3 linked regions of the Rhinolophus ferrumequinum genome follow. The main gene of each other region encodes a partner of the protein of the gene in region 2 in a complex. Links are inferred from orthologs where the notes say so. Each region holds a gene or a part of one and is shown on either strand. Other genes may lie near its edges.

What was found.
Region 1: the proteins of TNNI2 (region 2) and TNNC2 are in contact, whole or in part, in a crystal structure (PDB 1A2X), measured with the Oryctolagus cuniculus proteins. The link is inferred for Rhinolophus ferrumequinum from reciprocal best matches to the Homo sapiens genes TNNI2 and TNNC2. Residues at the interface, in NP_001076252.1 of Oryctolagus cuniculus: Glu5, Asn8, Arg9, Ile11, Thr12, Arg14, Arg15, Gln16, His17, Leu18, Lys19, Ser20, Val21, Met22, Leu23, Ile25, Ala26, Glu29, Leu30, Glu33; in NP_001076114.1 of Oryctolagus cuniculus: Ser13, Glu15, Met16, Ala18, Glu19, Ala22, Lys91, Leu96, Glu98, Cys99, Arg101, Ile102, Phe103, Arg105, Ile119, Phe120, Ala122, Ser123, Glu125, His126, Val127, Glu131, Ser134, Leu135, Asp138, Phe152, Met155, Met156, Val159, Gln160.
Region 3: the proteins of TNNI2 (region 2) and TNNC1 are in contact, whole or in part, in an NMR structure (PDB 2MKP), measured with the Homo sapiens proteins. The link is inferred for Rhinolophus ferrumequinum from reciprocal best matches to the Homo sapiens genes TNNI2 and TNNC1. Residues at the interface, in NP_001139301.1 of Homo sapiens: Arg116, Met117, Ser118, Ala119, Asp120, Ala121, Met122, Leu123, Ala125, Leu126, Leu127, Lys130, His131, Lys132; in NP_003271.1 of Homo sapiens: Asn18, Glu19, Phe20, Ala22, Ala23, Ile26, Val44, Met45, Met47, Leu48, Gln50, Pro52, Glu56, Phe77, Met80, Met81, Cys84, Met85, Lys86, Asp87.

The regions. Positions count from the first base shown.
Region 1 is NC_046306.1:12,303,772-12,311,745, reverse strand, and holds TNNC2 (troponin C, skeletal muscle), read right to left. Parts: upstream 3,016-7,974; 5' UTR 2,883-3,015; coding exon 2,880-2,882; intron 1,428-2,879; coding exon 1,376-1,427; intron 1,237-1,375; coding exon 1,093-1,236; intron 992-1,092; coding exon 877-991; intron 712-876; coding exon 575-711; intron 312-574; coding exon 280-311; 3' UTR 139-279; downstream 1-138. Other genes in the region: SNX21 (sorting nexin-21), read left to right, coding at 6,900-7,161, 7,668-7,825. UniProt on the Homo sapiens protein: Troponin is the central regulatory protein of striated muscle contraction. Tn consists of three components: Tn-I which is the inhibitor of actomyosin ATPase, Tn-T which contains the binding site for tropomyosin and Tn-C.
Region 2 is NC_046294.1:1,219,440-1,227,018, reverse strand, and holds TNNI2 (troponin I, fast skeletal muscle), read right to left. Parts: upstream 3,005-7,579; 5' UTR 2,883-3,004; intron 2,297-2,882; 5' UTR 2,275-2,296; coding exon 2,267-2,274; intron 2,084-2,266; coding exon 2,077-2,083; intron 1,637-2,076; coding exon 1,595-1,636; intron 1,514-1,594; coding exon 1,385-1,513; intron 1,254-1,384; coding exon 1,164-1,253; intron 1,051-1,163; coding exon 874-1,050; intron 727-873; coding exon 631-726; 3' UTR 505-630; downstream 1-504. Other genes in the region: SYT8 (synaptotagmin-8), read right to left, coding at 4,394-4,627, 4,703-4,836, 4,934-5,039, 5,122-5,289, 5,360-5,527, 5,708-5,797, 6,308-6,474, 6,578-6,671. UniProt on the Homo sapiens protein: Troponin I is the inhibitory subunit of troponin, the thin filament regulatory complex which confers calcium-sensitivity to striated muscle actomyosin ATPase activity.
Region 3 is NC_046300.1:48,074,281-48,081,122, forward strand, and holds the start of TNNC1 (troponin C, slow skeletal and cardiac muscles), read right to left. Parts: upstream 3,016-6,842; 5' UTR 2,917-3,015; coding exon 2,893-2,916; intron 1,384-2,892; coding exon 1,353-1,383; intron 1,139-1,352; coding exon 992-1,138; intron 728-991; coding exon 613-727; intron 393-612; coding exon 256-392; intron 172-255; coding exon 140-171; 3' UTR 1-139. Other genes in the region: NISCH (nischarin), read left to right, coding at 4,519-4,614, 6,780-6,842. UniProt on the Homo sapiens protein: Troponin is the central regulatory protein of striated muscle contraction. Tn consists of three components: Tn-I which is the inhibitor of actomyosin ATPase, Tn-T which contains the binding site for tropomyosin and Tn-C.

The sequences.
Region 1 (7,974 bases), on a different chromosome or scaffold from region 2:
TTTCCACATCCCGCTGCTGGACTCGCCTCTTCTAGGAGCCGGAAGGCGCTCGGGTGGCGCCAGCCGGGGTGGCGCCCTGCCCAGCCAAGCTGCCCCTGACACCCGCTCTTCGATCCTTCCCTCACTCAGACCAAGCGCTTTGCAACGATTGCTTTTATTCCTTCTAGAAAAGGATCCCGAAAGGGACCGCGCCTCCCTCCCGGGCGGGGAATGGCACGGAGCGGGGAGAAGCCCCGTCACCCGAGGGTGGCGCGGTTTCGGTGGGCGAGGGCCGACTTCTTACTGCACGCCCTCCATCATCTTCAGGAACTCTGCGGGAAGGAGAGAGAGGGACAGGCGGTCAGGGGTCCCCTCGGGACGCAGAACCCTGCGCCGGGGGCGCAGTGTCAGGGGGCGGCGAGTGAGGCCGGGCCAGGGCGCCCGCCGACACCGGGCGCGCGGGAGGAACCCGGTCAGGCCAGCCCCGCCCCGCCCCTGAGGCTAGCCGCCCGCGTGGGTGCCGGCGGCACGGGTGCCCCGCCCTGGATGCGCTCCACGCGGCTCTGTCCCGGCTCCCCAGGCCTGTGGCCCTCACCGTCGAAGTCAATGCGGCCATCGTTGTTCTTATCCCCGTCTTTCATCAGGGATTCGATCTCCTCATCTGTCACGTGCTCCCCAGAGGACCTGAAGATCTCAGCCAGCTCCTCCGCATCGATGTAGCCGTCTGCGTTCCTTCGGGCCGAGGGACAGGGCGGGACTCAGGGCAGGCAGGGGCTCGCCGCCCCCGCCACACTCCACACCCCACTCCCAGCACCCCCACCCCGAGAACCCTTCGCGCCCTGCGGACCGGTCTCCGGCTGCTCAGCGCCTGCCTCGGCTCCCAGGCCCCCAATGCACCTGTCGAAGACGCGGAAACACTCGGCCAGCTCCTCCTCGCTCTTCCCTTTCGCGTCCTCTTTCATCTGGCGCACCATCATGACCAAGAACTCCTCGAAGTCGATGGTGCCGCTGCCTGAAGGGAGCAGGTGGTGAGTGACCCTGAGTCCCGGACACCTGGCTGCCCGCCTCTCCCGATTCCCCCTCGCACCCTGCCTGGGGAGGCCACCCGCTCACCGTCCTCATCCACCTCCTCAATGATGGCGTCCAGCTCCTCTTTGGTGGGTGTCTGGCCCAGCATTCTCATCACCGTGCCCAACTCCTTGACGCTGATGTCCCCGCCACCATCAGCGTCAAACATGTCAAAGGCGGCCTTGAACTCTGCGAAGTGAAGGAAGGCAGAGGGCTGAGGTAAGCCTGGCTGGACTGTCAGCCTCACATCTACCTTCCCACCCTGCCCAGATACCAAACATCCCCCCAGCAGACATCAACCCTACAGTTAGCCTGCCACTCCACTCACCAGCGATCATCTCCTCGCTGAGGTAGGACCGGGCCTCGGCCTGCTGGTCTGTCTGCAGAAGACACAGAGTCAGATGACAGAAGGGGCAGCCCTGGGGCAAATTCTTGCCTTAACCCCTGTGTCCTCAAGCGCCAGCTCTGTAAGTGCCCCTTGGTCATCAGGAAGAACAACTCCAAACTAGCCATCCCTTCTGCCTGCCCCCACAGCCCCGGACCCCAGTTTTGGATAACTAGAGAGGAAACATTATGCCCAAGGCCTTCTCGCTTGTCAATCAGAAGTCAAGTCAGGAACCCCCCCAGTAACCTTGGGGGGGGTCACTTGATGTCCCCTCATATCCTCACCTCTTCTGAGCAGCTTTTCAGGGATGAAATGAAATTAGGGCTGTGAAAGGACTTTGTAAAGCGCCAGCACCAGTCCAGCGTGATTTCCCCATTTTCCCTAGCTCCTAACTGTATCTCGTACTTTAATAGGTGCTCAATAAATGTTTGTTCTCAAATAAATCACACAACACCACGTTCCTGAGCACCCACTAAGTGTCAGAACATAACCCAAGCACTAGGACCACCAAGCAGACACCTCATCCTTCCCCTCTGGGAACTTGCAGAAGTGGAGATGTTTAAGCTTCCTTCTTATGATTCAGTCATTAGAGTAAAGGCCACTCATGCCAGGCAGAACATGATGGGGGCCTTGCAGGGGTGAAAATAAGATTCCCGTGGGGTTTCCAGTCACATCTAAGCCAAGCCATCTGGATAGGGGGCTTTGGACTGTGGCTGGTGGTGAGGAAGGGCTGAGGCACCCAAGAAGTTCCTCTGGCTGGTGGCTGGCCCTCCTCCTTGCCCCCCTCCTCCTTGCCTGTGCCAGGAGGACAAGCTAATTTTAGGCTGGTGAGGGCAACAGCAGCTGGCCTCCAGGGTCTAGTTACTCCTTGAAGTGCAGTGGAGAGGGGGATCTCAGAGAAAGATGATAGCTCCAAAGCAGACCCCCTCTGTGGGAGGCTGGGGTCTCTCTAACTCTGGCCTGTCATCTTCTGCCCCTTCTCATAACCCTTGGAGCTTGAGGCCCTGGAGGCCTCCCACCTTCCAAAGGAGACTTTCTTCTCCCACTGGCAGGAGGGTTTGGCCAGGCTTCTCCAGCCTATCCCTGCCACCGGTTCGCTGGTGTGACTCACTCTGGCCCTCAGGGTCCCCATCTCTACCAAGCTAAGGTAGACACAAGCTAAGACACCCCCCTCACAGGTCAAAGACCAACATTGCTGGAAGTCCTAGAAGGTCTGCAGGAAATCTGCACACCTTGAGGGCCAATGCCGGGGACATCCCCGCCCTGCCTTCCAAGAGAAGTCCAAGGCTTTCCTCCCAGGCTTCCTCCTAGACACCTGGGTTGCAGGAACCTTCACATTCCATCTTCAAACATCCAAGTTACTGTTCCACAGAGCACTCGGATTTGGCTTTAAAGAGCCCAGGCGTCCTCCAGCAAGCAAAGGGATGAAGTCCCTTCTTGTCCTTACCATGGTTCCTAGTCACAGGGACTCCTCTGCTGCTGGTCACCTCCTCTGCACTCCACCACCCAAAGATGCCCTGGCCCGCTCCAGGCCCTGGGATTTGTAGGGGCACCTTATCCTCCCACCTCCCTGCTCCCCAGGACTGGATGCCCTGGCCAATCAGATCCTGGGGTCAGTGAGTCCCCCCTCCTCCCGGAGTCCTAGCCCATTGCCTAATTTAGCCAAGGGCCCTTGCAGAGAAATTGAAGCCTCAGAGCAGGTGGCAGGCCTTGACGTCCTAGATTCTTAGAGGAGAACCCGCCCTGCTCCACTACCTTCGCGAGCCCCCTCCAAGAAGCACACTTGCTCCAAGATGGGTGAGGACAATCAGAATAGAGAAAAGTGAGGCTACGCGGTGGAATGGGGAAGCACAAACCTTGAAGTCCAAAACCCAAAATCTAAGTCCTGCCTCGGCAGGCTGTGTAACCTTGGACAGGTGGCAATGCTGCTCTGAGCTCCTGTTTCCTTGTCTGTGAGAAGGGCACAGTCATAACCTCCCTCACAGAGAGACTGTGGTACACAGGAGCCCAAGTATAAGTCACCTAGCTTGTGCCAGCTACATACTGTTGATGCTTGGCAAATGGAATGTCCTGTCTTTGAACAGGACCCGAGGAAGGGAAAGTGACAGCCACAGTTATTGAACCTCTACAACATGCACACACTGTACTAAGCATTTTAACCACATTATCTCAGAGCTCATCTAGTACTCATCCTGTGGGGTGCCAACTATTGTTATGCCCTTTTTATTGGGGAGCTTTGTAAATCATAAAGGTCTATAGTCAGATTGGTGATTCGTATTAATCTTGACTGAGGGGAACTTGGGACAGACACTTCTTGGGGGACCCATCCAGACGGAGAATTGTTCGGCCGGGTCCAGGAAACAGGATGTGCCCTTGGAGGAGAAATCAACATTGAAAGCAGATTCTTCTCTGAAGTTTACCTTCTCCAGGGAAAGGATTTGGAGATTTACTTTTTGGGGGAGGAAGAGGACCAGAGGAAGTTTGTCTAATTAGATAAAGGGGCAGCGGACCCCTTGTTGGAGCTTGGGGGTGAAGTCTGCAGGTGCTCAGCTGACCATCTGGAGAGTAAAAGGGTGAGCAGATCAAGTCACGTCTGAAGGGGTCCTAGCCTGAGAATCCACAGGGTCCAGCCTGGGCGTTGGGAAGTAGGCCACACTCATGACAATGGTTAAGGCAACAGAAAGAGCTCTGAGACAACTGAGCACAGAGTCTGGGGCCAGTGAAAGGGGGCTGGACACCAAGGTAGGCAGATGGACAGTGGCAACTGGGCTGCCCTCTTCCCCTATATATAGACATTCCCAAAGGAAAGCTCAGAGGAGCCAGGCCAGGCTAAATAAGGCCTCTCCAAGCCAGACAGAGGGCCAAGGGGCGATGACACTCAAGGGATTCCAATTTGGACACAAACGTTGGAACCACTTGATCCCTTTGGAACAGAGTGTGGAACTCTCAGCAATCATTTGTTCATTGATTTGTTATTTAATTTGTTCAGGGGCATAGATAACATCCACATTTAGTGTGGCCAAGCAAGGTCCCACTGACCACTCCCATCTCACTCCCCTTCCCTCCCCACCTTGCATGCTGCTTTGCTTTGGTCCAATGAAAATACAATTCAAAACACCACCCTTTATAGCCTCCAGGCCTTCGCACGTGCTGTTTTTTTCTGCCAGGATCTTCCCATCTTCCCGCTCTTCATCTGCTTACTTCTCTATCTTTCTCAGCTTTAGCATTACTTCATCCAGGATCCCTCTTCCTCTACACCCAGGCCAAGAGAGTCTAAGGTGGTCTCCAGTAGTTTCCTCAGTCATAACACTGCACGTGCCCCATGATCACAACCCGTTCTGAGTTCCACAGACAAGAGGCGGTGTCCTAGTCACCACTGCATTGCCCAGTACCCAGCACTTGGCACTTAGCAAGGGTTCAATAAAGATTGTGTGCTTTGTAAGAATAACTGAACTGAATGGCTACTGGTTCAATACAAGAAGGAAGTCACCGTTGAAGAACAACAGGAACAGGCAGCCTCAGGAGGTGAAAAGCTTCTTGTTACTGAATGCATGCAAGCAGGAATTTGATGACCATCTCTCCATACAGAGTCTAAGAGTAGTGCAATACAGGACATCAGGAGATCTCCTTGTTCTGGCCCTGTTTGTGTGTCCCAGGGTAAGCCCTTTCCCCTCCCTGAGCCTCAGACTACCCATCTGGAAAATGGAAGTGCTAGGCCAGATTTCTGAGAGACCCTCCTGCTCTGACAACCCATGGTTTTATGAATACCTGCTTTGTACCCAGATTGTGAGGCATATACCAAAGTACAACTTAATATTCAGCCAATGTTTGGTGAATGAGTGAGTGTTGAGTGAATGAATGAATGATGTGTCTTTTTTGCCCCAACACCATGCTGGTAAGCTGAATGAAGAGTAGTTAGAACTTTGAAATTACACAGACTTGGCCTTAATTCCAAGCTCTCCTATTTCCTAGCTGTGGATTTTGGGAAAGTCAATTTGCCTCAGTTTCTTCATCTTGAAAATGGACCGTCATTGTCCAATAACAACCCCTTCCCTAGGATGTTGTGAGGGTGAAATGTGACCCCATGCAAAGTGCCTAGAACAGGATGTACACGGAAACTCAATGGAACCTCAAGAAATGAGAGCCCCGCCCCCTCTGCACGTGGGATGGCAGGGAATGTGTTTTCCATTCAAAGCTATTTTCCCCTACCCCCCTCTCCTGTGCCATTCAAAACGGGTGGGAGCTACTATCAGAGCGATTTTATTTGTTCGGTTGTATAACTAGCAATATCTGCCCTGTTAGGGACCAATATCTGGGCCTTCCGACACAGGCAGCGACAATAAATTCTTCTTCACCTGCTGCTACCATCCCCATAACACATAAAACACAGCCCTCCATAGATGTTGCTCAAAATTAGCGGGCCTGCTGCTTAGGAAAAGAACAGGGAAAGAACTCAGAAACCTGGGCTATTAGGCCCCATACTCAGAAAACTCTTGGCAAGCTGTGTGACTTTGGGCAAGTAACTCAGTCTCTCTGGGTTTCTTACCCTTTTGCCTACTTCCTTTATGTGAGGCTCAAGTGGAATTGTAAAAGCCTATGAACACTGTAGAAACAATAATCATGTGACTGATCATTCTGTAAATCCCTGCTCTGTGCCAGGCACTGGACTACGGTCCTTACAAAAGCTGCAAAATTAGTACTAGTATTAATTGTACTTTTATACATGAGAAAACCTAGGCTCAGCGCGGTCAGATTCCAACCCAGATCACGGGTCTTCTCTTGGCCTTAGTTTTCTCACCGGAAAGATGGGTTTCCCACTGTCACGTAATGACTTTGGAGAGTTCAAGAGTGCTGGGTGGAAACTAGGGGCTATATTGGGTCCAGCCTGAGTCTCCGGGATGGGTGAGAGGATTCAAGGAGGGTGTGAGCCCCGTCGGATTGGAGACGATACCGCAGGAGGCCTGGGGCTCGCCCAGGCCTACCCAGGATTCCCAAGTCTCTCCTAGAGCAAAGGGCCTGGGATTCCCGGGCGTCTCCGGGTAGCGGGCGGGGCTGGGGGCGGGGCGGCGGCAGGAAGCGGCAGGAGCGGCGCCCGGAGCTGCTGGGCCGGGCAGAGCCGGCCCGGCCTCTGTAAACGGCCGGGGGCTGCACCGGGACCCCTAGGCAGCGACGCGTCCCCGAGTGCTCCGCTGAACGCAGGAGGTCGAGACGCTACAGGGGGAGACAGAGACGTGGGTAGTAGAGTCCCGGCCCCTCCCGGGAAGTGCGCGGCCCCAAGCTGTGCGGGTGAGGGGAGGGGGATGCGAGAGGAGTCCCGGGACTCTCAGGACCCCACCGGGCAGGGGCGGGGCCTCCGCGGCGTCCCTCCCTCCCCCAACCTGGACCCCTCCCCTCCTCCTTCCCGATCGGGGCCCGGGTCTTCCGCCAGGGCTCAGGACCCACAGTCACGCACTCCCCCTAGGGTGCCATGGCTTCGCGGCTCCTGCACCGGCTGCGGCACGCTCTGGCCGGCGAGGGCCTCGGGGAGGCGGCGGCCGGTCCCGAGGTCGAGCAGTTCCCGGAGAGCTCGGAGCTGGAGGACGACGACGCCGAGGGCCTGTCCTCCCGTCTCAGCGGCACCCTTAGCTTCACCAGCGCCGAGGATGCGGACGACGAGGACGAGGACGACGACGAGGACGACGGCCCGGACCCACTGCCCCGTGGGGACGAGGCGTCGGGAGAAGACACAGGCGAGTGCGGAGGACGAAGGCGGAAACCTTGGGGGCTCGATTAGGCCTCCACCACGGCCACCTTCCCGAGATGGTCACAGGGCTCTGAGTTGATCTTGCCCAAACTCCGAAATTCTGACACTTTGAAGTGTCCCAACCACCTCTTGAATGTGTGACCTTGAGAGAGTCACAATACCTTTTTGAACCAAGTTCTCCCTAGTGTCAGATGGGGGAAATCACTCCCTTCTCAGAGTTGTTGCAGACATTAGCTGTACCAGAGTCAGGGATACAACGTGGTAATGTGCTAGGGATGTCTTGGGGGTGCAGATATTAAGTTAGTGCCTACTGTGCACTTATCTGCCAGGCACGATGTTGGGCATTCAGGCCCTCTCTGGCCCTCAGTTTCCTTTTATGACAAATGGGGATAAAGTTATGTCACTTGTTGGGAGGATGAGTAAGGTCATAGAACGTGGTTTATGTGATCCTGGCTCCGGGCCCATTGATGTGACTGGTCTGTACTCATGCAGAACAGAACCCCCCACCTGATGGGCAGCGGGGTAGTCAGCACCTGGCACGGCAATTGCAGGATTTCTGGAAGAAGTCCCGGAACACCCTGGTACCCCAGCGGCTGCTCTTCGAAGTGACCAGCGCCAATGTGGTCAAGGACCCCCCCTCCAAGTACGTGGTGAGTGAGTGTCCAGGAATTCCTGAGCTGTGAGTCTACAAGTCTAGCTAAGAGAAAGTAAAGACGACTCCAACTTCCTTGGGGGGAATGTGGCTATGTGGATATAAATGGCTGCCCCCATTTTACAGATGGAGAAACTGAGGCCAGAA
Region 2 (7,579 bases):
AGTGTGTCCCCTGTGGGAGGGTGTGGGGTCTTAGACGGGCAGCCTGACAGGAATGGGGGTCTGCCCACATTGTGCATACCTGCCGTGGCCCCTCGCCGGGACTTGTCTCTTACGGAGGGGGTCTCTGTGTGGGTGGGGGCCTCTCATGATGACTGTGCAAACGGACAAATGACCTCATTCTGAGAATTCCTGCTCAGACACGACTTGGGCCATCTATCTCTAGAGAAAGCTCTGGAGAGCACCCTGGAAATGACCACCGACCATCCCACGCAACCGCAGGGTGCAGGCCGGGTGGATTCCAGTATAAGGGCCTTCCCAACCCGGCCTGAAATTCCCGGAGCCCGTGCATGTCTCCCCCATGCCCTCATCCCGGGCTTCCCCAGCACGTGGCTGACAGCTCTGGCACACCACCGTCTGATGGGGCCTTCCCAGAGCGTGGCGGGCACCCAGAGGCTCCAGGCACCCGGCAGGCAGAGGCTGGGGCAGAACCACAGCAAACCAGTCTCGGGTTGGAAGCCTTTATTGACAGCTGACGTGAGCCTGGTCGTCCGGCCAGCTCTGTCGGCCTGCCCTCCTGCACTCTGTGCTGGGAGCCCAGAGCGCCCCACCGACCACCAGGCGGCGGGGATCCTAGGACTCAGACTCGAACATCTTCTTCCGGCCCTCCATGCCAGACTTCTCCTCGATGTTCTTCCGCCAGTCACCCACGTCACGCAGGTCCCGTTCCTGGGCGTGGGGCCAGGAAAAGTCTCAGGCCCACGCAGCCCACCAGGAAGCTGGAGACCACCCTCAGCCTCCGTTCCCCCTCTGTGAATGGGCTCCCCGGGAGGGAGCTGGGGGAGTCAGCCCTGCAGGGATGGCGGAGTGGCCTACCTTCTCGGTGTCCTCCTTCTTGACCTGCTTCAGGTTGGCCCGCAGGTCCATGCACACCTTGTGCTTGGAGCCCAGCAGAGCCTTAAGCATGGCGTCGGCCGACATGCGCACCCTTCTCAGCGGCGGCCTCTTGAACTTGCCTCTCAGGTCGAATAGCTTCTGGTTCATGTCCTCCAGCTGTAGGGATGGGGAGGGCTGTGTAGGAGCTGGCGGGGCCGGACCCCACCGGGTCGGGGCGCCCTGCCCCCCCACCCCCCTCCCCCCGTGTCCCCTGCCCGTCCACCTCTCACCTCCTTGGTGCTCTTCTGGACCTTCATCTCCATGTCATACTTCTCCTCCTCGGCCTTGTCAATCTTGGCATGCAGCTGTTTACAGAGCTCCTGGGGGTGGACATGCAGGTGGGCGGCCGTCCCGACACTCGGCCCCCCTTGCCCTGACCACCCTACTAGTCCTCTTGCCCAATGGGGAAACTGAGGCGAGAGGCAGGAGCTCGACTCGAGGCTTGGGGTACCTGCACCTCGGCCGTGGAGCCAGGGATGTGCAGCGGGGGGCAGTTCTCTGCCAGGTAGTTCTGCTTCTCAGACTCGCGGCGACTTTCCTCCTTCTCTAGCTCCGTGGCGGCAATCTGGAGCATGACGCTCTGTGGGGGGCAGGGGGGGCGGGTGAGGGGCTGTGGCTCAGCCTGGGAGACCCCCAGCGGCCCTCCCCCAGCCATACCTACCTTCAGGTGTTGTCTGCGGGCCGTGAGGGCCCTGTTTCGCTTCTGCAGGGCGGGAAGAAGAGGCAGAGTCAGGACCAGCCTGGAGCCCCCAGAACCCCACATCCTTTTCACACTCCCCGCCCAGGCCAGGGGGTCCTGCTCAGGAGGCAGCTGGGTCTAGGAAGCCCCGAGGCCCTGGTTGGGGGCTCGGCCCAGGATACTACCCTGCATGGTGTGGAGAAGAGGCTCCAGCTCAGAGGCAGTGGGGAGGGCGGGGGTGCAGGGCCGGGTGAGGGGGTGCAGTAATCAGAAAGAAGAAGCAATCCCCCTGGTGACCAGGCCACAGTCCCACTTCCCCTGCCCCAGGAGGCGCCGGGCAGCCACTTCCTCTGTTGCATCAATGTCTGGGGGTGGGGTGTCTCCTTGGGGCTTGAAACTCTGACCCCTGACCTATCCCAAGTGGGGGTTCGAGTCCCTGGGCTTCACCCCAAGAAGGTACTCACCTCATCACTGTCCCAGGAGGGCAGGCGGAGGTGGAGGAGAAAAGGCAGAGGTTAGGGCCATGTGCTGGGGCGGGTGGGGACAGGAGGTGGCCAGGGTGGGCAGGGGTCACTGCTGGGGAGACGCAGAGACCCCTGCCTGGGGGGAGGGGGACGGGGGGGACGGGGCACCAGGGGTGGGGACTCCACTTACTCCCCCATCTTGAGGTCCTGGGCTTAGAGCCTGTAGGAGAGAAAGGCAGGGGTGTCAGGGCCACAGACCCGTTCTGCCACGGACATTAGCTGCTCGTGGTTGTGGGTGGCTTGTGCAGCACCTCACATGAACCCAGCCCTTTGTCCCCAACTCTGACCTCCTTGGGCAGTGGGGACGATGTCTTGGAATTCCCTGGGGTGAGAAGTAAGAGGAGAAAGTGTTCCAGAAATGTCCCAGGCAGGGCCTGGGGTTCGGCAGCTGTCCTCAAGGGAGGGGGGAGATGGCCCAGCACAGGTGGCTGCCAGAGCCACTGGCTACTTTTAGCTCTGCTCCTTCGGCTTTGGGCCCAAGTGCATGCGAGAAGCTGCTCCCCAGTTTGACCTGGGGTCCCTCAACCCTAAAGCCCCCTTCCCGTGTCCCAGACATGAGGCCTGGTCACCAGGGGCTGTCCAGGACCCCTGCCCGACTTCAGCCCTCCTGCTCCTAGCTCCATGGAAGCCCCCCAGACAGGGTTGCTGGAGGCCCCCAGCCCCCAGCCCCCCACCCAGGGAAGTCCTCCTGCTAGCTGTCTCGAGTGGTGCCTGTCCCCAGCCTCAGCTGGCCCGGCCGGCCTCACCTAACGTCTGGGCAGCGGTGCTGGGAGCGAGGTCAGGCTGGCAGTGGCAAGTCGGGCTGGTGGGCCCAGGGGGAGGGGTATAAATGGCTTCCCCCAGGCTGGGCCCCTGCTCAGAAAGGGCATGGAGCCCTTCTCAGACCAATGGGGGCACAGGGACCTCACCACCTGCCCAGGCTGCCTGGCCCGGCCCAGCCTCGTGCCGCCGTCTAGTCCAAGAAGTCTTGGAGGGGGGTACTGAGGTTGGATTGCTCTATTTAGGGATCTCTGACGAGTTCAGGAAGACTCCTGGTTCTCACTCACAAGGAGCCTGAGGCCACTATGCACAGCCTGGCTGGACTGTGGGGGGGGGGTTGTGGGGGGGCCGCGGTGCAGGGCTCAGGGGTCTCTGAGGGGACCCTGGGAGCCTGGCCCCATCTGGTGCTACACCAGGGTCCACACTGCAGCCACCTCTTCTGCAGCTCACAGTCCCCCTTCAGCCCAGCAGGCGCCTCAGCCACGAGCTGGCTGCGCCTCCCCTTCTCCAAGCCGGCTGGGGCCTGCAGCAGTGGCGGGGGTCTCTGGGGTGGGGCTGCCCTCCCCTGGGTGGGATCCTGCCTTCCCGCGCCTGCTGGGGAACAGGAACGGGGGTGCCCTGGACGTGCTGCCTGCCAGGGACGCCCTGCCTGAGGGACGTTCCTGCACAGCTCGGAACACGTCCCTCAGCGAGGATGGTGACACCACCCTCATGAAACCCTCCCTGACCTGAGGGGCTTGGGGCCCAGGCAGGCCCGGCATTGCCCTTCTCACCCTGGTTGGGGCCTGTGTCCCCCGCCCGGGGCCCCCACCCAGGAGAGGCATCTGGAGAACCATGACTTGGCACCCTCTGAGCTGGGGTGCGGGCCCCAGCCCTGCCCGTGTCTCGGCCGTGGGGAGGGTCAGGGAGAGCTGAGGCCTCCAGATGTGTGGGGGATTAGAGCTGCGTTCTTTCCCGGCCACGCTGAGCCCCCAGAGGCCCCAGCAGCTTCCAAAGGCATCTGCTGCCCCCTGCTGCTCACACAGAGGAGGCCCTGCAGCCACTGTCCTGCAGGTTTTGGGGCTCTGCGAGGAGCCGGGGCAGTCCCTGGAGTTGGGGTTCCTTCCATCGACCATCACCAGCTCCCCGCAATGCTTCCCAATCGCCCACCCTGTGCCCGTGGGGACGTCTCCCCTCCCCCCACGCCATCCCTGATGCTCCAACCCCCACAGACAGGAGGGCTCCCCCCCTCCTGGTATTGTCCCTGTTGGGCTTGGAGGAGCCCATCCACCCCACCCGGGGTCAGGCGTTGGTCAGAAGCCTCAGGACCTGGCTGAGTCTGGAGAAGAAACCCTCTCCTTGTCCTTGGGAGGGGCTCCTGACCCTACTGTGTCCCCTGAGGGCTCAGAAAGGACACGTAGCGGTGGTAGGAGGAGGAATTTATTGCCGTGGGCCCCACAGAGGGGCCTGGACGGGTACCCCCAGCCCAGTCCAGGGAGATTGAGGCACAGAGACGCTTTCAGGAGCCAGGTAAGGGCAGATGCAGGCGGGGCTGCAGGGCCAAGGCCCGGTCCACCTCCCTGGGGGGCCGCAGGCGGTGCCACTGGGTGACGGGCCGCCGGGCATGGGCCAGCATGTCTGCCCAGTGCTGCAGGGGCTGACCAGAGGCCCGGGCGCCAAGCACCAGCTTACCCACCGGCTCGGCCCGGAGCCGCAGGCCCCGGGCCCAGACTGCCAGCACCAGATCCACACTCTGGGAAGAGAAAGACAGTGGTCAGTTTGTCCCCCAGTGAAGACCCGCCTTTCCCTTGCCTCCAGGCAGGCCTACCTGGATCTGGCTGAAGGGCACGAGGAAAGTGAAGGCCTCATTGAAGTAGGGGCTGGCCGTGCTCTTCCTGGCAGATGTCTTTCTCCTCTTCCATTTCCTCTGGTTCAACATGAGCTGGACCTTCACGTAGGGCTCTGGGCAGGCAAAAGAGGTTGGAGGGTGATGCAGATCTGACAGCCAAGCCCTCAGGCCCCCCTCTGTCCACTCGATGTGGGCAGGTACGGTCCTCACCTGCCAGCCCTGAGCTCAGGCCTCGGGCCTCCAGCACAACCACGGTCAGCCGGCCTGAGCCAGGCACGTACTGGAGCGAGAAGCACAGCTCCCCGGTCTGCTCAGCCTGTGGGTGGCGAGAGGGGGCCTCAGCCTCCCTGCTGGCACCAGACAGAGCCAGGCTGGAGCCTGGTGGTCAGTGGCCTCACCTCGGTGGTGCCCGGGGGGCCCAGCTGGTGCCAGAGCTCCAGGACGTGCCGCAGGTCAATGGCACCCAGTGGCAGACTGAGCTCGCCCAGGGGCTCATGCTGGGAGAAGCACCTGGAGTCGAGAAGCCGCACCTGCAGGGTGGTCTGGGGCAGCTCTGCTGGCGGGACCTGCGGGCAGGAGTGTGAGCCAGCCCTTGCCACCCGGCCCAGGCTCCCCACCCATCAGGCCCGGACTTACATGGAAGCAGCAGGTCTCATCAAACACGGGATTGAGTGTGCCACGGTGTGCCTTTGTCTCATGTCTGTGCCTGGGCTGGGTGGAGAGGCTGACGGAGGCGTAGGGGTCTGCTGTGTCCCCCGGGCCCCTGGCCCTCAGGTCCACTGCCTGCTTGAGGCCCACCCTGATCTGGGAGCCAGGATGTGGCTCAGCCAGGGCTTTCCCTGGTCAGCCCCGCACCCAGCACCCAGCATCCAGTGCCCAGTGCCCAGCACCTAGCAGCCAGCACCCAGCACCCAGCACCTAGCAATCACCCTTCAGCCACCACAAACCCACAGACCCTCTGGGCCCGCAAAGTGGGGCCCTCACCTGCTGGCTTCCTGAGTCGTACTGCAGGGATAGCTGCAGGCGCCCCCACTGCTGGGGTGGGGGCTCCACATTACCCACCTCCGGCTGCACCTGAGTGGGTAGGGACTGCTGACAGGTGCTGCTGGAACCGTGCCCCCATGGGAGCCCTGGGCCTACCAGGCATTCGTTCCGGGACTCGGGTCAAACCACCCACCTCCAGCCAGGCCACCGGAAGGGCTCACACCCTCAGCTCAGCTCTGAGACCGGCCAGAATTGAGGGACCTTCCCCGAATCCATCTCTGGCACCACTGCTTCCCTCAAGAAACTGCTGTGGCACCCCGTGGCACACGGCCCAATCCCTGGGGCTGGCACTCCCGGCCCTCAGGCCCTGGTCCCACCTGCCTCTCTTTGTCACTGTTTCCCTCCCCACTTTGCTCATGGCTCCCCTGCCAAGGGGGCCCCCCGGCCCCTGCATCTGGGCAGACCAGCCGGCCCTGGAGCTGAGCTCAGCCTTGGGCTCACTGGGCCACCCTGAGCCCCGGAGCCTGGACCTTGAGCTGCCCTCTGGGACGGCCCCAGCTGGGAGCTGGGCACTGACGAGCACTGGCAGCCACTCCTCACCAGGTGGGTGGTGGTGCTGCTGCGGGCACTGCCCAGGCCCACGGCCACCTTGTCCCTGGGCTTCTTCCTGCGGTGTCGGCGGCAGCAACAGCAGAGAACACAGAGGAGGCAGGAAACCACGAGGACACCGGCGGCGGCAGCAACGGTGATGAGTGCCCAGCGGGGCCCTGGGTGGGCACACAGAAGGGCCTGAGGTGCCTCTGTGTCCAGTGGCTGCCCCCCAACTGGGCCGGACCATCCCCATGCCCCCCCCGGGATCCCACAACTCACAGGGGATCCTGGCCATGAGGTCTGGTATGAGCCCAGCTTCAGCTGTGGTGCCCACTGGGGCTGGTGTGCTGTCGGGGTCTGTGGGGCGCCCCATTTTCCCACCCTGCTGGCTTGGAGGAGATGGGAGACAGCCGGGGCAGCCGGGTCACCTGTGGGGATAGCCCCTCGGGTCCCCTGTCCACCGCTCCATCAGCCCAGCAGCAGCCAGCTTGGGTTTGCCTGGGCCAGGAGGCAGCCTGGGGTGGCCAGGGGTGATGGTTCTGAGTGGAGCCCAGGAGAGGGAGGCCCTGGGCTTTGGCCAAAGTGCCGGCTCAGCCGCCACAGGCCCGGCCTCCTGGCCACCTCCCCAGCCCCCAGCCCTAGCCAAGCACGCCAGGCCTGGGCAGCCTGGGCCCTGCCCTCGCTGGTCCTCCCTGCAGAGCCTTCCGCCCTCACTGCAGGGCCTTCTCCTTCAGGAAACCCCCTCATTCCCCTGGCCCAGGGCCCTGCCTGTTGGTCGTTGTTGGGGTCCCATCTCATCTCTGCCTTGGCCTCAGGCCCACCGTGGTTTGCCCACCACACAGGTGGGCCATGTTCACACATGTGACCCCCGAACCATGAGTAACCTGGGAGCACGATGACGGGGGCTCAGAGGCATCAGGGACCTGCTGGGGTCATGGGGGGAGCAGCAGGGTGAGGAGTGGGGTTGGCTGCCGATGGGAGCTGGTCTAAGCAAGCTCGGCATGAAGGTGCGTTCCTGGCACGGGCGGGCCGGGGCGAGCAGCACCTGGGGAGGAGGGCGAGGTGGGGGCAGGCAGGGGCAGGGTGTAGCTGGGAGCGGCCAGAACATTCCTTGCAAACTGACTCAGCAGCCCGCCGGCCCAGACCTGCCTATCTGCCACGCTTAGGCGAGGGGGTAGGAAGGAGGGCGGGCCAGCACAGCCGCCTGCCTGGGGCCTAGGGAGGGAGAACACCTGGCCAGGCTGGCCCCTCCCATCCATGGCAGGGACCCAGAATTTCAAG
Region 3 (6,842 bases), on a different chromosome or scaffold from region 2:
ACTGGGGAGGGAGTCAGGGATGGCCTGCGGTCAAGGACACGCCCAGGCTCACATCCTGGGGACACCGGCCCCTTGCCCCACCCCAGGGCCCAGCTGGAGTTGGAAGGTGGCACAGGCAGCTCTGGGAGAGGGTCGGCCTCTACTCCACCCCTTTCATGAACTCCAGGAACTCTGTGGAGAGAGTAACAGGCATGGGTCAGAGGTGGGGGCTGGCACGGTGTGGGCAGTGGGAAACCCGGTACATCACGCCCTCACCGTCATAGTCGATCCGGCCGTCATTGTTCTTGTCACCATCCTTCATGAGCTCCTCAATGTCGTCCTCCGTGATGGTCTCACCTGTAGCCTGAAGCATTGTCTTCAGCTCCTCCAGGTCAATGTAGCCGTCAGCATTTCTGCAGTGAGTCCGGGGCAGGGGCGGGTCTCAGAGCCATGGACTGGGGAGGGGAAGAGGCAGCCCCACCCATGACCCAGGGAAGCAGGGCCACTGAGAGATGGAGCATCCCACTCTCCCATTACACAGAAAGGGAGACTGAGGCCTGGAGGTCACAAGACTGTTCCACTTTCCCGAGCTCTGCTAGAGCTGGAGTCAGAGGTCAATGGTCACATGCTCACTTGTCAAACATGCGAAAGAGGTCAGACAGCTCCTCCTCAGACTTTCCTTTGCTGTCATCCTTCATGCACCGAACCATCATGACCAGGAATTCATCAAAGTCCACTGTGCCGCTGCCTGGAGGGTAGGTGACACGGCCATTAAAGAGGGATGGTCAGAATGACTGGTATCGCCCTTGAACCTAGACTCCGTTTTTCTCACTGCATCCACACACCAACCCCATGAAGCAAGGTGGTCATTATGCCCACTTTATATATTAGATGACTGAGGCTCAGAGAGGCTAAACTGTTCCTTCAAGAGCACAGGATAATAAGTGGCAGACGCAGGATTCAGGTCCCCAGTGACCCGGGGGTCTGGGGCCTGTAGGGCAGAGGAGCTCACCATCCTCGTCCACCTCGTCAATCATCTCCTGCAGCTCCTCAGGTGTGGGGTTCTGGCCCAGCATCCTCATCACCTTGCCCAGCTCCTTGGTGCTGATGCAGCCATCCTCAGCGCCCAGCACGAAGATGTCAAAGGCTGCCTTGAACTCTGTGTCCGATGGTCGGGGGGTGGAAAACAGAGTGGCCAGGGCTCAGCAGCCAGGACCCCAAAAGGCAAGACCCCTCAGGCCAATCTGCCCACTTCCCTCTGAGCCTTTGAGGTCACAACGAGAGGGACCCCAGCCTCTCTTCTCCAGCCTGGGGTCCTCCTGTTCCCACAGCCCGGCCCTGCTGTTTCCTTACATGTGTGTTGGAGTACTCACCATTTTTCTGCTCTTCTGTCAGCTGCTCTACCTAGAGAGGAAAAGAGGTCTCAGGACTCAGGCTCCAGGCTTTAGCTGCTGTTGAGGAAACCAACCCATTCCACAGGTGGGAAGACTGAAGCCAGGAAGAGGCGTGCCATTTCCAAGTCACATAATGGAGGCCTCAGTCCTCCCTTCTTGCCCCCAAAACCCTGAGGTGACCCAGCCGGCCTCACTGAGATTGGGTTCAGGGCCAGGGTGACAGGTGGGCAACCCTCCGTTGACTAGGTGACCCTGAATAACAATAGTTAGTGACCACTCAGTGCCCAATTGGACCCCTGCTGAAACCCAAGCTGGGTGGCCCGAGGGACAGCTGTCCCTCAGGTTGGGACAATAAACCCAGTGTGGGGGTAGGTAAAGCCACCCACTGTAATTTGACCGGCATGGCCACTGGGCTATTTTTAACGGGCGACAAAGTTAAACCTGGTGATTGTTCTGGGGACTGTGGCATGCAGGGGGTGGGGCAGTGTTATCTGGCCCCCTGGCCTGCTGGTGCCTCAGGAGCCAAAATTAGCCCCCAGCCCCGCCAGGCCTTGTATGGGCACAGGCGGAGGGCTGCTCCCCCCAGCTCCAAGGACTACTGCAGGATAGGAAGGGGTGCCCCCAGAGCCAGCTATAGCCCTTCCCTGCCTAGGAGTGGGACCACAATCCCAGGGCTAAGGGAGGGGTTCCCTTGGGGACAGCTGTCTGTACCAGATGTCCTTGTCTCTGGCGCAGGGAGAGGTCAGCAAACCAGCCCCCCGCCGATACAATGGCATCTGAAGCCCCTCAGTGAGCCCAGAAGGCTGCAGGGACTTGAGGTAACCACTCTCCAGCCCTCACCCCTGGCTAAGCCGTTGAGCCCAGAGCCTGCCGGGCCAGATGGGGGCTTGGGCCCCAGTTCTCTGTTCCTTCTTCCCAGTCTCCCCCGTGGCCAGTCCTTCCCTGCCTGCTTCAGACATGAAAGTCTCTTCCCTAGCTTAGGATTCTGACTCTGCAGCCCGCTCTTTACAACTCCTGTCACCCCCTTCCTCCACAGCATCTTCAGCCAGCTAAGGGGCTGGAGGGGGCGGGGGGGATTGTGAGTGTGTGGGAAGCAGAATATGAGGGGCAGAAATGTGGGTGAGGACAGGGAGACAGCGGCTGAGACTCAGACAGCTTAGAACAAAGATGAGAAGAAGCTGAGAAAAGCAAAGCTCCAGAGACCAAAGACACAAACGCAGAGATGTGGCTGAGAGACCACAGATGTGGATACAGACTGGACACTTGGAGACAGGGACAGACATGACCCTACAAGGTGTGACCTCCTCCTCTACCCACTCTGACAGATCCTCTCCAGTCCCTGAATCCCTTCAACACCCAGAACACCAGACCCACCATCCCCTTGAGGCCCTGGGCTGAAAGTATGTGGGTCCTCTCCTGGGCCCCCACCACATCCCTGGAGTGACCTTGCCCTCCCCCCCCCACCCCGCACTCTGAGATGAGTGAGCCCCCAGTGGGTCCACCCAGCCCAGTCCCTCACCGCTGCCTTGTAGATGTCGTCCATGCCGGCGACTCACAGGGCAGGCTGCTGGGGTTGCCAGGCAGTCCGCCCTGGGCTTAAATAGCCCTGCCCCAGCTGCATTCCGGCCCAGCCCCCCCCCCCAGTGTGGAGCATCCTCCACCCCCTCCCCCGGTCCTGGTGATCTCAGACTGGCCTGAGTCCCTGTGTCCTCTGCCCAGGAAAAGGAGATGAAGGCCTGTTAAGGACCAAGTCTCTTTCCCTTTGTTCCCCCATGGCCTCTAGGGGACTCCTTGGAAAGTTTTCTTGAATGAATGAAAACATGAGCCCAGGACAGGACAGGAGCTGCAAAGTAGTGGGGCCCAGGCCAGGCCCCTACACAGCAGCTCAACCTCCCATCCAAGCAGGGGGGTGGGTGACATTACTCCCACTTTCCAATAAGGAAACTGAGGATCCTGGAGGGGTGGTGATGTGGCCAAGGTCTGGCTGATTTGGTAGCCCCTGTCTTACACTCTGCAGTGGAGGGCAGCTGTATGCAAGGAGAGGCTTGGGAGTATAGGGCCCTGCCAAGGGAAGCCTGGAGTGGGAAGCTCTGAGCACAGTGCTATGAACTGGTAGATAAGGAAGTCACTGACCCACCTTAGGACTGAGTGGTCTGGAGCCCTTCAGCCAAGGGTGCCAGAGGAGCCATAACCCGGACCTCTCATCTCCACATAGTACTGTTCTGGGTTTGGTTAGCTGCACTCAGTCAGCCAACAAACACACCTATAGATACCCTGTCTGTGCCAGACTCTCCCTCTCCTTCCCCTCCACAGCTGGGCTATTACCTCCCTCTTTTAGGTCCAGGTCTGCCCCCGGGTTAGGGCTCTATCTCTGTGCCTGTGCTTCCCATTCCAGCACTGTAGTTCCTGGGTCCAGGGCTAGTCTGTCACCCCCTTTCAAGCTCCGGTAGGTCACCACATGTCTTGTGCCCAACGGCCAGCACATAACCCTTCCTTCCACCGTCACACCCCCACCATGCAGAGCCCCGTCTTGATAACCACACCAGCTCCCTGCCTTTGAACCGGACACTGCATGCATTAACCCACTCAATTCTCCAGCAGCCCATGTAACAGAGATTTCCGAGTGTTGGAGAGGGTAAGAACTGGTCCAGAATTCTCTGTCCCTGTTTAGGCTCTACGCACAGCTCGTATCTTCTTCAACCGTTTCTAGCCTAGAACGAGTCTAAGAGCTAGCGCGATTACTGCCTCCCTTTTTCGGAGAGGAAAACTGAAGCCAGGCGGAGCAGTGACTTGCTTCGGGTAGCCGAGGACGCGTGGAGCTTTCTGTCCTCCCTCCCGGGCACGGAAGGGTAATGCCTAGAGCTACCTGCACGGGGCCTCAGTTTCCCCCGGTTGCTAGTAGCGTGACCGGCGGCACCACCCTGATACAGATTACGCAAGCGGACAGGCCTGCGCACGCGCGCCGTGAGTGGCTGCTGTCAATTATGCGCGAGGGGCGGGGCGAAAACGAGAGGAGGCGGTGGGGCCAAGATGGCGGCACGGGGCGCGGCGAAGGCGGGGGCCGGTGGGAGCCGGGGGATGGTGGGACGCTGACCCCGCCCCCTGCTGCTGCCAGTCTGCGCCGGGAGGCGGTGAAACCCGGAACATGGCGACTGTAGCGCGCAGCTTTGGGCCGGAGCGGGAGGCCGAACCGGCCAAGGAGGCGCGCGTCGTGGGCTCTGAGCTTGTGGACACGTATACGGTGTGCTGGGGCCGTGGGTGCCCGAACCGGGGGTGGCGGCTGGAACCCCGAGTCCGAGTCGGGGGATTGGGGAGGAGGTCTGGGTTCCGTGACCGGGGAGGGATGAGTAGCGGGCCAGCGATTTCGAGGAGGGGGCCGGGGATAGGGGTTTCTGGGGAATGGATCTGGGCCCCGTAGGTCCAGGAAGAGGGCCCTAGGGTAGAGCCCAGGGAGGTTTTTGGGGAAAGAGTACCTGTTCAGGAAAGGAGGCTAGTCGGGGGGAGGATCTGGGGAGGATCAGGGGATAAAGGGGGTCTGGGGAGGAGAGGACGTCTAGACGAGATGGAGGGTCCTCTAGATCCTCTAGGCCTGGAAGGGTGCCAGCCTGGGAGGATAGGCGAGGGGGTCCGGGAGGAGGGGGATTAAAGAGAGGATCGCTGATGGATGGAATCGGGGGAAGGGTCAGGGCCCTGTTCGCCGCGAAAGAGGAGAGGGGGCCGGGCCTTGATCTGGGGAACCTAGGGTCGCTGTTGAGATTTGCTCCAGGTCGGGCCCAGCGGCCTGGGGTTCAGGCCGAGACTAGAAAGAGGTAAGGGTGGAGCCCACACATGGGGGCATTGAGGGTTTCGCTCAGGGCTGAAAGTGCAAGACCCAGGAACCTTAGGTGTTTTCATGGCTTTGGGGGCGAGTTGGGGCAGCAAGCCCCTCCCACACAGTCACACAAACACACCCGTCCAGGCTATGGGAGAAATGGAGGATATGAAAGAGGAGGGTTTAGGGCAGTGATGGAACCCTCCTGGGTCTGGATGGGGTTGGACGCCAGGCCTATGGATCTGGTAGGCTGCCTGGCAGGGTCTGGTCCTGAGGTGGGGGCGTACTGAACACCTCCCAGCTCCTATTCTTTGTTCCCAGAGGGTGGGGGTCTTTGGCCCTGCCTTCGCCCCACCCCCTTGGCCCTCATCCTAACCCTCCTCCTGAGGGTCGTTCCTCTGGCTCTTTCTCCTTTCTTGGACACGAGGAGGAGGGAAGCTGCCTTGCTGGGAAGAGGGGCTGGGGGCGGATCCTGGAGCAACAGGCCAGCCCTGGAGAAATGGCTGCTTCTCTCTGTGGAGGCTTCAGCTGAGTTGATTAATTTCTTCTCCCCCTTCCCTGCTTGCTGCAGTGTGGGGCAGGACACTAGGTGAGGGTTGAGGTCTCTAAGCTGGTGGCTGGCTGGAAATCACCCATGGGCAGCATTCAGCTGGAGGGTCAGCTCCAAAAGTTGTCTTTACTGGCCAGGGCTGAGCCACTCCTGAATGGGTGTGGGGGATGTGATGATCCAGGCCAACCTACCATTTGGCTCCGGGTGTGCTGAACTGAATATTATTAACACACCTACTTTTTATTGAACACTTGCTGCATGGCAGGCCCTGTACAAAGCATTTTACATGCATTACCTTATTTGATTCTTAAACCTAGCAGATTTTAAGATGGAAGAACTGAGGCTCAGAGAAAACGTAGGCTTCCCAGTCACTTATATAAGTGACTCGTCCATAAGCACAGCCAGGCAATGGCAGTCAGGTGTTGACCTGAGGTCTTCCTTGATCCCATTCCCCTGACGGCTAAGTCATTTTGCCTTCTGTTAGGGCTTGATAGTCCATCACCATCCTCCCGTCCCACCCATCCATCAGCTTCTTGGTGCCTTGACTACTGGCTCAGCAGCAGAAATCGCAGCTGTGATCCAGCTGAAAGGGTTAGACTAGGGCTTGCTTCCAGGATATGGGCAGGGCACCTAGGAAAACATACAACAGAGAAGCTAGCCCTGCCAGACCCGGCCCTGTTCTGCCTCCCTTGGAAGAGATGGCCTTGCGTGCAGCTCAGGTTGGATTGGGCATTGAATTACCTGGAGACTGGAGGTAAAAATCTAAAGAGATGGTTTGATATGATAGTCACCTTTTCCGTTCCTCTCTGTTGGCTAGAGCCACAAACATCCTGTGTTCCTGCCAGATACAGTGTTAGTGCCGTTGAGGAGGCTAAGAGGGGGCCCTGCTGTGCAACAAGAGTCAGGTGCAAAGGCTGGTGGGGAAGGGCAGCCTACCTTTGTCCTGTGGCTTGAGAGGGTCTGGGTATCCTGCAGCTATTGCTGGGGGCGGGGTGGGGCTCTCCTTGTTACTCACTCGGCAAGGGCTGCCTGTTTTCCCTCGTAGGTTTACATCATCCAGGTCACTGATGGCAATCATGAATGGACAGTCAAGCACCGCTACAGTGAC